Linked DNA regions of Lepisosteus oculatus. The protein of the gene in region 1 purifies or fractionates together with the protein of each later gene. This does not show direct contact. Links are inferred from orthologs where the notes say so. Each region holds a gene or a part of one and is shown on either strand. Other genes may lie near its edges.

Region 1 (7,253 bases):
AGTGACATCATCTCTGTTGGTGTGCTCCACTAAGCAAGCTGATATAAGAGCCCAGATTTAAAAGGTATTATTGTTGGTGCATTACTAAGGGCAGGGGCAGACCTGGCTCACGTTTCAGTTCAGATAGCCTCAAAGCTGACTGGGGTTGAAAGATAGAAAACAGCCAGGCCTGCAAGAAGCCACTGAACCAAACAGATAGTTAGCAGTGTTAACATCTTGAGAAAAGACCACAGAGTGCAAGTGCTACCATATTAGTAGGGGCATATGAAAGTATGTAGAAGACTTTATTAAGTGATGTGTCACACTTACAATTGCCACTGTTAAGACTATTCTCTGGTTTTATAGCACTTCACTATTTGTTTGTTTAAAGTATGTTTATGCTCAGAGGCATTAAGATGCTATAAGTTACAATACTCACTAATGAGTTTTTAAATTATCTTATATTTAACAGTAATGTATTCCATGGTGTACTATTTAGTGAGGAACTGTGAATGACACCTCTGCTGTGCTTTAAAAACTTTTAAGTTATTAGAAGAAACTGAAGTAACAAAATATGCACCTTCCTCAGTTGCACAGCGTCTTCAGTAGAAAGAGGACCCATTAGGCTGTCCCTGACTCCTAAAGCACAATGGAATTTGAGAGAAGCAGATTTACCATTAATAGGCATAAGATGCTGCATTAACAAAGTCTTCACACTCACTGGTTGTAAAGTACTGACTTTATTCCAATAAATCAAGGAAAAAAAGAAAGTACATCATTTTACTATTAAAATTGACAACAGTGTTTGAATTTTAAGATATTGCTATGGCAATAATACTTAATAAGTCTGAAATCCATAATCTAAACACAAGATGCATTTAACTAAATTTGCTTTTCACTGCTCTCAGATATGGTTTTTATATTTTATATTTACCTGCAGTCCAGTAATCACTTAGAGGTTATTATTTTTTAGTTAATGTAAACATAATTAATAATAGTAAAATCTTTTTTATTTTTTTTTGTATCCTATATAAACTAATTTTGACACGGGTTTTCTAAGATCATAAAGCATTCACAGACCGGTGTTGGAATAATTTGACCATTTAATCACGTTAGCTGAATTCCGCTGTAATATTTACCATGCACGACAGGTGGCAGCACTTCCATTCGCTTTTGTGTTTGTCGGCGCAATAATAATCGTTAAAGAACGTGAAAGCACCTGAATAAAAAATAATAATGTATATTCCATTAAACTTGTTTTATTCGATCATATTTACAATAAAATTAGGACATATAATAAGTTCCCCGGTGTTCCATTTATCAATCGCAACGTCTTTGAAAAACTAATCTCCTAAAATGATGTAAAAAGAAAAATCATCATATCGCATGTACAGGAACGGGTAAAGGTTTATTCCACGCTGAATGGAAAGAAAAGAAACAGAACTTTCCGGCTGTGGAGCATTCTTCAGGTTTGTAATTATTTATACAGGTATTATATACACAGAACAGTGCAGTGCTATACTGTGTAGTCCTGTAGTATTCAGTTTGTACTATGCTAAAGTGTACCGTAAGCTGTACGGTGAGTATACAGTACATACTGCGTAGTACTGTGCTGTGTGGTGTATATAGTACTTGTTCAGTGTTATAATAAGTATTTATTGTACTGTACATGGATGTACTCTGTATGTACAGTACATCGTGCAGTACTGTACAGTATTGTGGGTATATTTCTTTGTGAAGACTGCATTGTGCATTGTTGTACTGTATGTATATGCACTGTGCGGAGATTTACTCTGAGAAGTGTTTTACTTTGTGCATACACATTGAACAGTGAGGTATGCTGTGCAGTTTTTTACTGTGAATATACTGTACATTGCATATTGTTGTACTGTGTAGATATACTGTGCAGTGATGTGCAGCCATTTTCATTACACAGTGCGAAAAGGTACACAAGTGTTGTAGTGTGTGTTTACGTACTGTGCAGTAATGTACTGTGTCTATATATACACTAAGCAGTGATGTACTCTATACAGTGTTGTTCTGTGTGTATAAAGCATGCTGTGTAGTGTTATAAAGTGTGCAGTGTTTTACTATCTGTATACATGCTGTTTAGTAATGTACTGTGTGTTTATATACTGTGCAGTGATGTACTGTGTATATACAGTACAGTGCAGTCCGTAAATATCTGGATAGTGAAACGTTTTTTGTTGTTTTGGCTCTGTACTCCAGTACATTGGATTTTGTTAAAGTGCAGAATGTCAGCTTTAATTTGAGGGTATTTAAGTCTATATTGGGTGAACCACATAGGAATCACAGTCCTTTTTATACATACTCCCCCCATTTTAGGGGACCAAAAGTAATTGGACACATTAACATAATCTTAAAATTGTCATGTTTAGTACTTCGTTCCAAATCCTTTGCAATCGATGACTGCCTGAAGTCTGCAAGCCACAGACATCAGCAGACACATGGTTTCTTCCCTGGTGATGCTCTGCCAAGCCTGTAATGCAGCCATTTTCAGTTTCTGCTTGTTTTTTGCCTTCAGTCACGTCTTCAATAAGTGAAATGCAGGCTCAATGGGATTCAGGTCAGGTGATTGACTTGGCCAGTCGAGAACATTCCACTTTTTGGCCCTGAAAAACTCCATAGTTGCTTTAGCAGGATGTTTGGAGTCATTGTCCTGCTGCAAGGTGAAATGCCGTCCAATGAGGTTTGAGGCATTTGGTTGGATCTGAGCAAATAAGATCCCTCTGTACACTTCAGAATTCATCCTGCTGCTGCTGTCTGCAGTCACATCATCAATAAAGACAAGTGAGCCAGGTCCACTGGCAGCCATACGGTACATGCCCAACCCATGACACTACCTTCATGTTTCACAGATGAGGTGGTATGAGCAGATCCTTTTTTTCTCCACACTTATTTCCTTCACTCTGGTACAGGTTAATCTTCGTCTAGACTGTGTAAGACTGTGTCCCAGAACTCTACTGACTTTATTATTTGCATTTTAGCAAACTGTAACCTGGCCTTTCTGTTCTTGAAGCTTACAGTGGATTGCATCTTGTGAACCCTCTGAGGTTATGCTGGTGTATTTTTCTCTTTATGGTATAGTCTTTGACACATCCATGCCTACATCCTGGAGGGTGTTCCTGATCTGTTCAATGGTCGAAAAGGGTTTTTTCTTTACAATTGAAAGTCTTCTTCAGCCATCCACTACTGTGGTCTTCTGTGGTCTACCAGGTCATTTGCTAAGCTCACCAGTGCGTTCTTGCTTCTTAATGTACTAGATGAGTTTGACACACCTAATGTCTGGGCTATGTCTCCGATTGATTTATTCTGATTTTTCAGCCACATGATGGTCAACTTCACTGGCATTGACACTTCTTTGGTCCTCTTTTGCATCTGGAGCAACAGACTCCAGATGCAAATGCCACATCTAGAATTAACTCTAGACCCTTTTTCAGCTCTCTTGTGCATGAACTAACATTGCAATGACACACGGCTGGCCAAGAAACAACTGAGCAGCTAATTGTCCAATTACTTTTGGTCCCCTAAAATGGCGGGGCTTATGTACTGTATAAAAAGGACTGTGATTCCTATGTGGTTCACCCAATATAGATGTAAATAGTCTATAATAGTATATAGTAATAGTGGTGTACTCTGTGCAGTGATGTACTGTGTGTGTGCATGCTGTGCAGTGGTGTACTCTTTGCAGTGATGTACTGTGTGTATACATGATTGCAGTGATGTACTGTGTGTATACGTGCTTGCAGTGGTGTGCTCTGTGCAGTGATGTACTGTGTGTATACATGTTGAGCAGCGTTGTACTCTCTGCAGTGATGTACTGTGTGTTTACATTCTGTGCAGTAATGTACTGTGTGTATACATGCTTGCAGTGGTGTACTCTGTGCAGTGATGTACTGTGTGTGTACATGCTGTGCAATGATGTGCTCTGTGCAGTGATGTACTGTGTGTGTGCATGCTGTGCAGTGGTGTACTCTGTGCAGTGATGTACTGTGTGTATACGTGCTTGCAGTGGTGTGCTCTGTGCAGTGATGTACTGTGTGTATACATGATTGCAGTGATGTACTGTGTGTATACGTGCTTGCAGTGGTGTGCTCTGTGCAGTGATGTACTGTGTGTATACATGATTGCAGTGATGTACTGTGTGTGTACATGCTGTGCAATGATGTGCTCTGTGCAGTTATGTACTGTGTGTATACATGTTGTGCAGTGATGTGCTCCGTATGTACACTCCACTCTGCAGACGCACGGTGCTCTGTGACGGTGTAAGTTTCTAGAATGCTTTCCCAGAGTACATTGCGTGGCCAATATGGAGGAACTGACGGTAGAAGTCCGTGGCTCCAACGGAGCTTATTACAAGGTAAAAACATTCAAATCATTCCGATAAAATAAATTATCTAAAAAGGAGAAGAAAGCTTTGTGTACGGAAATGTACAGGTTGTTTTCACGGGATTGTTCTTGCTAAATAAATCTGTAAGAAAGTGCCTTTGACGAGGACACAAAAATGTCTGATCTTTTGTCAGTTACATTATGATTTATTTACATACTCACGTATATATGCATTTTTATATTCTAGAGTTTGATAACCCATATTATGTATTCAGTCTGGAGATATATATTTGTAAACTTAAATATTTGAACTTTTTTGGACTGATATATTCTTTCCCTTGTTAATACAGGCCTATCTCAGGTGTTATTTAATAAGGATTAATATTGTTCGTTATATTGTTACGTTATTCATGTTGACAAGATCTTTGATGTTTTAATGGTGGGCATAGTTTTTAATATTTTATACAAAATGAGTGGAACACGATCAGCAGTCACTGTGGGATTTGTAAGTACTGAATCCGTTGACTTGCTCAGCCTGGAGGTCTGGTGAGTTTAAGAGAAGTTTTATAAAAGTGCAGGAAGATTCAAATGTGTTGAGAGACGCACCTGAAGCGTCCGTGTATCTCATTCCCTTCATTTGCACGATGATGGGAAAAGGACATTTCCATTCCTTTGTTCCATTAGTCTTGTTAATATGCCAAAGTCTACTAAACAGTAGCTGTCAATAACGTAACTATATTTTTGTTTTTATAATCCAGCTCTTAGATGTGCCGAATCTTTTTAATAAGGGCCTTTTCGTATTTCTGAAATAAAGCGTGACAGGTCTAACGACTGATATGTGTTTAGGTTGGGTCTAACTGTTGTTAGGGGAACTGATTATGATAAGCACTTGAAGCAGAAGAACCCGTTCTGATTCTAATACAAAGGAATCTCCCTTGTCGTAAGAATGGAAGTTGAAGGGAATGTCATTTACTGCACACTGGGGGTGGTGGAGGGGATCCCCATTACCTGTAAAGCAGTTTGAGTGGAGTGTCCAGAAAAGCGCTATATAAGTGTAAGCAATTATTTAAGATTGGAGGCCTGGTTTATAAAATATGTGGCACTGCATGCAGTTAAATTCACTGAAGAGTTTGTCTTTATGTGACTTGAAAACTATCTCCTGTGTTCATATGAAAATGCAGTGTTTAGTTTAGCGGTGTCTTTGATTGTGAGCTCTCTGTTTGCTTCTTCTGCATGTCATTTCACTGTTGCGTTTGACTTGCATCACTTTTGTATCTTATATGTAACAAGTAGATTATTGTACTGTCGACTCCTTAAAAAAATCAGGCTTATACTCTAAATGTAATACTTTGTGCCTTTTACATTTCTTAATTTCCTTTTCCTTTTTAATTTTGTTGTACATAAGCACTAAGATGTGTGATTACTAGATGTTTAGGTATTGACAGCTGTTACTGTCTGTTGAACTAACTTGTTCAGTCCATGGTAGGAAAATACATCTGTTAATAGTATTAAGTAGTTATTGTATCATGCTGAAGTTATTCCTAGAATGTCACTCAATCCCAGAGCAATATGTGGTCTGACAGCTGTTCACTGTCAATCTTGAGCTGTTGTCAGGTTCAAAGGATAACTTGGAACTCTGAGCTATATTTAAAACATGGGCTTACACATAGCTAGTTATGCAAAAGACAGATGCTTTTTACTAAACGCAAATATTTCTGTTATGTTTTCTTTTTTTAACTTTCTGTAGGTAAAGTAATGACTTATTACAGTATGACTTAAACAATATCTGAATATAGTGAAAAAAACAGCAGTTTATGTAGTTTCAAAGTAGAACATTTTCACAATCAGATTATTATAAAATATAATGTAATGTATAATATAATTATATAATGTAATATCATGTAGTGCTTACATAAGTAAAATAAAAAAGCTATGACAGATGGAAAAGAAAAAAATAGTTTTTGGAGAGAATTAATGAGAAGAGTTTAGTGGTGTTAGTCTCTGGAATTTGTCCTTTAGCAGTCATGCTGTTAACCAGCACCACTTTGCCCTTTGTACTTGTGTGGGTATGCAAATCCTTCTCTAACACAAAGCAAAAGCATCTCTTAAGTATCTCATTAAATGATGTGATTCTTGTTTCATGTAAAATATGTTTCTTCTATTGAAGAAAATGATAAACTGTTGTCAACAGTAGATATGTGATTTCAGACATTTGTTTCTTCATGTATTCTATTTAGACATTTACATAACATCTGTACAGGCTCCTTTCTCCAGTGTTGTAATGAAATATGTTTAAACACATTTTTATAATGCTTTTTGTGCTGCCTTAGAGAACCATCTATAAACACATTGGTTTAGAAGGTTGACATAATTGGAAAAACTGTCAAGGAACTGGATCTAAACTGTCATTTACTTCAGTAGTGTACAGCAGTGGTCTTTAATTCTGTTCCTTAGAGTCTACTATGGGGGATTTTGGTAAGGTTATTGAACTAATTATACATTTAACTGGGTCAGTTTTAGTTTTAAGGTCTAAGACAAATAATGAGTTTAAATAATGAGTTTGTCTGCTTTTTCCAAGGCGTTTAAAAAGTTTGTTTAAAAAGTATTAATATCAGTTAACTTTAAACATCAAATGTAAACACATTCTATTACATTTTGTACATTAAAATAGTATTGCGTGGGTATGCACATTGGATGACTAACAATAACTGAAGGCAGTTAGGATAAATCTGGAAAATGTCATTAAGATGTAACTTGAATTCCTTACTTATGTTTTAGGGATTTGTCAAAGATGTCCATGATGACTCACTTACCATTGTCTTTGAAAATAAGTAAGTATTTTAACAGTAATTTCGTGTTGGGTTTAAAAAAAAAATCATAACCAAGCTGCTTTGGGAAGAATTCAAGACAGGAAGCTCAGGATT
Region 2 (7,720 bases), about 9.9 Mb from region 1:
TTAGATAATTTGGGCTCCATAAAAAAATGCTTAAAGGTTTTTTCCTTGTGACTTCATCTTACACTGTTTAACAAAAATGTTGCTATGGATTATGGAACATAAGCTAATTTAATTGCTGTACTGCATCAAGTTCATACTGCCATTGTTGAACTATTTTGTGTTTGGTGGTTTGCTAACACATTTGAAAGCGCTGTCTTAATAAAAACCTTAATATACATTCTAAGCATTCATTGACATTGGAATCGTCTTTTGTATTTCTGATATAACCACCTCATTCCTTCAGGTCTTTATGAATGCTGCCCTTTAGTATTTTAACTTTCTGCTCTGACACACCTATAAGGAGGTACAAACAATATTGTACCTGGACCTTGCTTTCTCTTTTTTTAAATGGATATGATGTGCTGTTATCTTCTGTCATTTTATTCTAGACATTAAGAGATCTTAGTTAAATTCATTGGAGATAACAGGCCAGTGTAAACCCACTATGACAGAGGAGGCCGATCACAGTCCTGCAAGGCCAGTGGATGTACAGGCTTTCGTTCCAGCTTGGCTCTCATCCTGAACAATAAACTCCTCCACTTCCGGAAACTGAGGCAAAACCTTGTTTACAAATTCACCGACTGCCACAACTTCGAAATTCTCTTTCTTTTGGCCAGTGCGGCCCTCACCTTAAATCATTTTTCAGCTCCACCACGACGTCCTTCCCCACAAGGGACTTAAAAAACGAGTAGAATAACTGCAGAGGGAAAGAAAAGGATTGTGAAACCCCCTGCCAGCAATCCTGGCCAAATCACATGAGAATCTACACGGGGTCACTACAAAAAAAGGCAGACTTGGAATTGTGTCTGTAAGAACATCAGTAATACTTTTGAAACATGCCTGGGATAGCACATTAATATCGTGTGATTCTTGCTGTAAACAACACAATTCCAGAATTTCCTTCAGTAAAGGTACCAAAAAGACTACGGGAAAGCAAGAGACGGTCTGGAATAAGTCTGATTTGCAGATACTGCACCGATCAAGCTCGAAATTGAATAACAAGAAGCTGGGCGTTTAAGATGCCTTTCGGGGCAACCTGTTCGGCTCAGCATCTTTCCCTAGAGCACTAAACTAGGCCTTGCCTATCCCAAACCCATGTCCTCAGCGTCTACACTTTTCGTTAGAGATGGGCTCTCCGGCGCTTTACTTAATGAATCATACCTACCGTGTACGGGCGCTAAAAGTTCGCAAATTTTAAGTTACTAATAACAGTTAAGCTAGTAATAGTAACAGTTCAACTGGAATATTCAACAGAGCGAAAAACGTGATCATAGTTTAAATAGCTCAAGTTATTAAAAAAAAAAGCGGAATCGGAATCACCAAGAAACATCCGCGACACACAGACCCTTCGAAACACGTAACGAGCATCTACTTAAAACAAAGCTTTCCTGCGGATTAGACGCACATCCAGCTGCAAAGAGAGGTGAATGCAAACCGTACGGCTGTTCAAAAAACAAGATTTAGCTTTATTACAATGCTCTTTCAAATTTGAATTGGTTGCCAATGGATTAAAGAAATTAATTCTGGTATTTTTTAAAGATATTTTGACGAAACGTTTGAGTAATTTTAATCTCGTCACGGTGCCGGTAGTCAAAACCATTTTCAGAAATTAATTTCTGATAGTGAAAAGAAATGTACACAGAAAGCATTAAAAACTGTTCTCAAAATTGAACAGAAAAGGGATCTCACCATTTTCACTCACACTCGACCCCCACTGCGCCTTTACTCTCCGTTTACATCCCAACGAGAACGGGATTAGAAGTCCTACTCACCCATTGGAGCAACTTCTTTGACGTCATAAAAATGAGCCGAAATGATATTCACCAATCAGCTTTGTCCGCTGGGCGACACGTGGTATAACCATAGAGTTTATGGAAGAAAGAGTAATATTTTATTATCACATGCAGATTGCATCGCCATATTGGTAGAGAGGATACAGGAATTGTGTATTTTCGAAGGGACCTACACACGAAGAATTATATCAGGAAGCTTTCAACAAAAGGCTTTAACTATTATGTCAAAAAGTTACCAAAATAAGTTCTTAGTTATTTTAGGTGTAGTTAATTTTGTTACTGTTATCTGTATCAGTAACTGCAGTGGTTTGTTAACCATTAATAGTCTCTGTAATTAAAGACATGCATAACATTTGAAAATTGAAAACATAAATCACGTTTGCTTTATTGTTTATAAAATATCGCTTCTATTTAGCTTAAAATCAAATCAATACATTTAAGGTAACGAAGATGTATTTAGTATATGTACTAGAACAAAAATGTATTTTTTTCTGTGCATTTTTAACCATAAAAATATTTTTTATTTTCCCACAAATATAAAATATAAAATACACAGTAAAACCTACAACTGTGTTGGTGTTTGTGCTGTGTTCTGTAATGATTTAGACCCTTTTGGAATACGAAGGGAATATTGTTATAGGTTGAGATTTTCTGCTGCTCTGCCCTCTATTGATGAAAATATATACGTATCGGTGTTTCTTAGTTAAAATGAAAAAAATCAGTTTGGTCATTCCAGTTCTAGTTCTAGTTAGAATACCTGTTGCTGATATTATTTCTGGCGATTTTGTTATTCTGAGAAGTGTTTTCACTTAATTTCACTTATTCTTTATTTAACGTTATTGGCTTTACGTCATTATTATCGGTGCTACTTTTTTGGAATATGAGAGTCACTCATTTAATTAAGGTCGGAAAACCATTCAAAACACAGTAAACAAAATGGGGCTCGTCCGGGATTCGAACCCGGGACCTCTCGCACCCAAAGCGAGAATCATACCCCTAGACCAACGAGCCCGCTAGCGCATATGTTTCTAGAAAGCCACATATAAAATAAAATACGTTAGGTGTAAATTAATGGGGCCCAAATGATTGCACAAGATTAAAACACCATGCATGGTACCATAATAATCCACATTTCATTCATATTAAAACAACAATTAGATTGAGTTATACTGCATAATTGCAGTGGAAGTCTCTATAATTTATGGCACTAAAACGTTTGCAGGTAAATCGAGAGTCACCAATAAAAAAGTGAGCCGCAAAGCGTTTAGCAGCCGAAAGGACGGAAACAAAACATCAATCGCTGCATCAAAAGCCTACATCAGCGCTTTGCTTTTTATCTGAAGACATTATAACGTCTTGAACGTATGAATTATGACTTATACCACCATGAGTATTCTAAATTAATTATGACTGAGAAATAATCTTTGCTCTAAATGACTGTGTATTACGTGTCGGCATATCGGAGCTTTTACGTTACCATAATGGCTAGGCTGTTTGCCTTAAAAAAAAAAACAAGCATAACAGAGCAGAAAAGAAGAGAAGGCTGTGAGGCTTGTTTTCCAGGCGGGATCGCCACTGTGCAACCAGATACGATCTAATGCATGATATAGCAGCTATTAAACTCCTTAATGATAGCAGCAGCTAATAAACTCTTGTATCCTTGTTTTTACAGAAGTCACTAGAGTTTGAAATAACCCATTTTGCCCAAACTGCCAGGGTTCTTGAAAAACCGTCCAGACGAGACTCCGGGATCAATCGACTGCTTGCAGACGCAGCTGGGCCTGGCCAGTACTGAGGTGGGATAACTGCGATCTGTGGTGTTCCGTGAACCAGTGGGCTGGGGTGGTGGCACCCTCTTCCCTCCGGACCACAAGATCCACATCCACGTCCCAGTATGATGAAAGGGGACACGGTACACTATCCGGTGGCATGCTTAGGATGAAAATAAACAAGTGAAGGTTTATTCCGTGCTGAAAAGAAAAGAAACACAACCTTTCGGCTGTGGGGCCTTCTTCAGGTGTGCGTGGATGCTTAGGATGAGACAATACACGTCTTAATGTCTTTTTATTGCACATCCCATGCCTCTGTTCGTAAGACAGTGTCCTGTCTGAATTTAAATATCGAACTCGTACGGTCTTTCCTGCACAGGTAGGATGATGCCTTCTATTTGCACAGGAGCTTCAACAATGGATACTGACATGGGTCCCCTCCTACATTTAAAGTGCTATATACCCACAAGGGATGGTTTTTATTTAAACCCGATGCCTACTTTTCATGTTTTCAAAAGTTGGGCTCGTCCGGGATTTGAACCCGGGACCTCTCGCACCCGAAGCGAGAATCATACCCCTAGACCAACGAGCCACACGATGTCCTTCCTCCACTGCATGTATATTTTTATTTTCTTACGGCTACACTGCACTGATTTTTTTTTTAATCCAATGTAGCCAAAGAATAACATGTTAGGTGTACCAATGCAGACTTATCTAACTGACTGATGAACATTTTAAAACACACTTTTTGATTCTTATGAGTAGCGAAACTACTCGCATACATATGAATTCACACAAGTCCAGTTTATGAATTTAATTCGACATCAGTAAGTATTCGCGTTTATTAGTAGTAGTTGCATAAAACTGGGGCTCGTCCGGGATTTGAACCCGGGACCTCTCGCACCCTAAGCGAGAATCATACCCCTAGACCAACGAGCCTGTACAAACGGCGTTACGTTGCATCCATAAATACTAAACGTACCCTTGTCTAGAATCGCAGGAAACGTATTCGTGGTGAGTTTTTCCAATTTTCGTTTGAGTTATTTTATCCTTCCGGGGCCCGGCAAAAGAGCCCCACTCAAGAGCTTATTGTCTGCTACAGAGGACAGAAATCAGCGGGCGCGACGCTTCCGAGACCCACCATGTTTTCCCATGATGCCTTCTTCGTACAGAGCTGTAAACATTTGAACTCGCCAGAGCTGTTCGGGACTGCGTGTAGCCGGATGGCAAGTTTGAGAGCTAATGGAGAAAGACGATAACGTTTTATTCTGAAGGCATTTTTTTTTAATGAGCACGACACCTTTTGTGAGCTGAGCTTGCGATATCGTAAGGGAGACTGGCGAAAAGAGAGAAGAAGCGGCCCCCTGTATTTTTTTAACCATGGAAACAGCTGGACGCAGTTAAGGTTTGCAGTGTGGGAAGGATGTATTTAAGCATTGGGTTTCCGTCCGTATCGATACCTTTAAATTAATCTCTTTCGTTTTCCTGCGTTTTCTTCCAGACTCTGGTTGTATTTTTGACCTCTCTAAGCGGCAACCAGGTAAGTTTGCTTCTTGGAGAAACATAAGATGTTTTTCATCACCGAGTCTTCTCCAAATCAAATCTTTTCTTCCTGCCCGGCTTTTGCATTTAGAAGAGATATTGTCCTTGCTATTCATCTTCGTACCCCCATTAGACATCCGCTTTAACTTATAAGGGAGTATGTTGCAGTCGGTGTACGTTGGATGGCGTTGTTTTATTTTTTATTTACTTTTTGAATGAATAATACAGTGTTACATTCTTAAGATCATCATGTTTTTATGTGACAGATGCCCTACTGGCATTAATGTGAAATGGAGGCCTTTTGGGGGACGCTACAGGATGAAACTGCAAGGTAGGGGGACTTCACAGTTAGGCTTATCATGTTTCCCTTAGAACTGTTTTTCTCACGCTTAGTGGATGTGGATTTGGAGTTTGTGTTTTGCTCCGCCACTTAACTCCCACCAAAGGCATGTTACGCACACCTGCTTCAGCAGCAGATGGGACAGCTTATGTTTCCACCATTGCTCCCTAGACAAAGAGGGAGTTCAGGCAGAAACCACACGGGCAGGTGCGTGGAGAGGCTGGAATCAGCGTTCTCTCTCCTCCCCAGCGCCATCCTGTCGTCGTGTGAACCGGAGCTCCAGGAGCTGATGCGTCAGATCGACATCATGGTGGCCCACAAGAGGAGCGAGTGGGAGAGCCAGCACCGGGCCCTGCAGGGGCGGCTGCAGGTTCGAGAGGAGGAGCTCCGTTCTGCCAGGGACGCTCTTGAGCACAAGCACAAGGAGGTACTGCCGCAGCTAGTACTTTTGTCAGAAGTGTTTCGCGACAAGCTTCGTATTGGCGTAGTGGACCGGGGGTAGGTAAAGACAAGCTTGGCAATTTTTAGATTTTGCATGGTTGTAGGAAGATACATTTTCAGCTATATAAATGTAAGATTTCATAATCCCCGTTGGGAAATTTCGTCATGGTGAAGACGTGTCAATCCTGTCAGCTTGCCTTACGGGAATACTACTTCATTAGACGAATGGACCTGATTTGCACCTGTGTTCTTGAAGAAAAGTATAGGAGAGTGGAAAAGAGATTGGTGGTCATATCTGTGTTATTTTCGGGGGGGGATGATAAGTTGGTATGGAGAAGTGACAGTCTTTGCTAAAGAGAGAGAGCTTTCACGGTGTGTTTTGTAGATCATTATGACTGACGACGAAATACTCTTTTAAATATTTTTTTATCAAAGAAAATTACATTCTGCTTTCACTCTTGGTCAGTGTTCAGAATCAAGGAAGTCTTTGTTAGATCTTCAGGACAAAACCTTTCAAGTGAACTTTGTAGAGGACATGCTGAAGGCGAGCTGGCATGGAGGTTGTGTTGGAAGGCTTTGCATGCTTGTCATCTGAACGGACTTGGTATGAAAATATCCTATGAAATGAGTGGCAAAAACCTTTTCTCGTTCATATTAAAGCAAAATCGGATTGTTATTTGCCCAGCTATCAGCCAGCCAGAATCAATTACTGGTATTCACGTGAAACTGAGATTCAGCAGATGTTTACGTAAAATCCATGAATTGTATGTAAATGTCTCTGCCAGTATGTGCCTCCTCCTTACATGGCCAGAATGCTTTCCCAGTGCTCCTTACAGCATTAGTATCCCACAGTGAGGTGGAGAATGGGCAATGGAGTCCTCAGAGCGCACCTAGTTACTCTTGTCCATTCCTTCTTAGGTGGGAATGTTCCGACAGCAGCTGCTAGAGGCGCAGAATGAGAAGCAGGAGCTGGTCTCCAAGTACGAGGAGCAGCTGCAGCGAGTTCGAGAAGAGGTGTGTCCCCGCAGGTTTTCTCCGGACATCTGTCGTGAACACTCTGAGGCAGAGCAGAACAGAGGAAAGAAAAGCAAGTAAAAGTTTTACGGTTTGCTGTAGGATACCAGCACAAAGGTTAATTGAATCACTGTGAAGTGCTGCACGTGGCACTCAGTCAGTTACTCGGATACTTGGCAAATGTAAGGGAAGGAACGAACTTGCGCTGGAATCTTGTGAAGCTGTGGATTAGTGTGGTTGAACAGGCGCGTGTCTGAACCTCGCTGCAGTTGTCCAAGCTCAAGCGGAGCTACGAGAAGCTGCAACGCCGGCAGCTGAAGGAGGCCAGAGAAGGAGCCAGGAGCCGAGAAGAAGACAGGACGGAACTGAGCAGATTAAACGGCAAGATAGAGGTGATGTGAAGCTTTGACTCATCTCCACACCACCTTCTGAATTGAGATGGCAATACTGGATCAGTAAATGGATTTGACAGTATTTGGAGTTCTTCAGTTTTACAGTATTAGGGGGCTAATAGTACAACTCACGCTCTTATTTTGTGTCACTGAATGATCTTCCACTTTCCTGTCCTGGGATGAGCAGTGGTACGCTTTGCCACACATCATTGGAAGTTTATACATCTGAACCTAAAAAATAAGTCGATTCCAGAACAAGTTTTTTTTAGTAAAGCAAATGAACTTTCTGTCATATCATTTCCAAAATGTGTGTATTGCACTTAGACGTCTCAGAAGATAGAGTTCAGAATTTTGCCCGTCTGCACTGTGGCCTTTCCTGACTGCCTTTTG

The links. Proteins that work in one complex are often made in the same cells at the same time.
Region 2: the proteins of fxr1 (region 1) and cep63 purify together in Homo sapiens (co-immunoprecipitation; 3 studies listed by BioGRID and IntAct, with this or other methods). This does not show direct contact. The link is inferred for Lepisosteus oculatus from reciprocal best matches to the Homo sapiens genes FXR1 and CEP63.

The regions. Positions count from the first base shown.
Region 1 is NC_090708.1:169,648-176,900, forward strand, and holds the start of fxr1 (RNA-binding protein FXR1), read left to right. Parts: upstream 1-4,251; 5' UTR 4,252-4,309; coding exon 4,310-4,360; intron 4,361-7,107; coding exon 7,108-7,160; intron 7,161-7,253. UniProt on the Homo sapiens protein: mRNA-binding protein that acts as a regulator of mRNAs translation and/or stability, and which is required for various processes, such as neurogenesis, muscle development and spermatogenesis.
Region 2 is NC_090708.1:10,044,940-10,052,659, forward strand, and holds the start of cep63 (centrosomal protein of 63 kDa), read left to right. Parts: upstream 1-4,719; 5' UTR 4,720-5,006; intron 5,007-5,102; 5' UTR 5,103-5,141; intron 5,142-5,409; 5' UTR 5,410-5,433; coding exon 5,434-5,474; intron 5,475-5,654; coding exon 5,655-5,910; intron 5,911-6,842; coding exon 6,843-6,938; intron 6,939-7,207; coding exon 7,208-7,330; intron 7,331-7,720. Other genes in the region: smx5, read right to left, coding at 669-736, 1,729-1,731. UniProt on the Homo sapiens protein: Required for normal spindle assembly.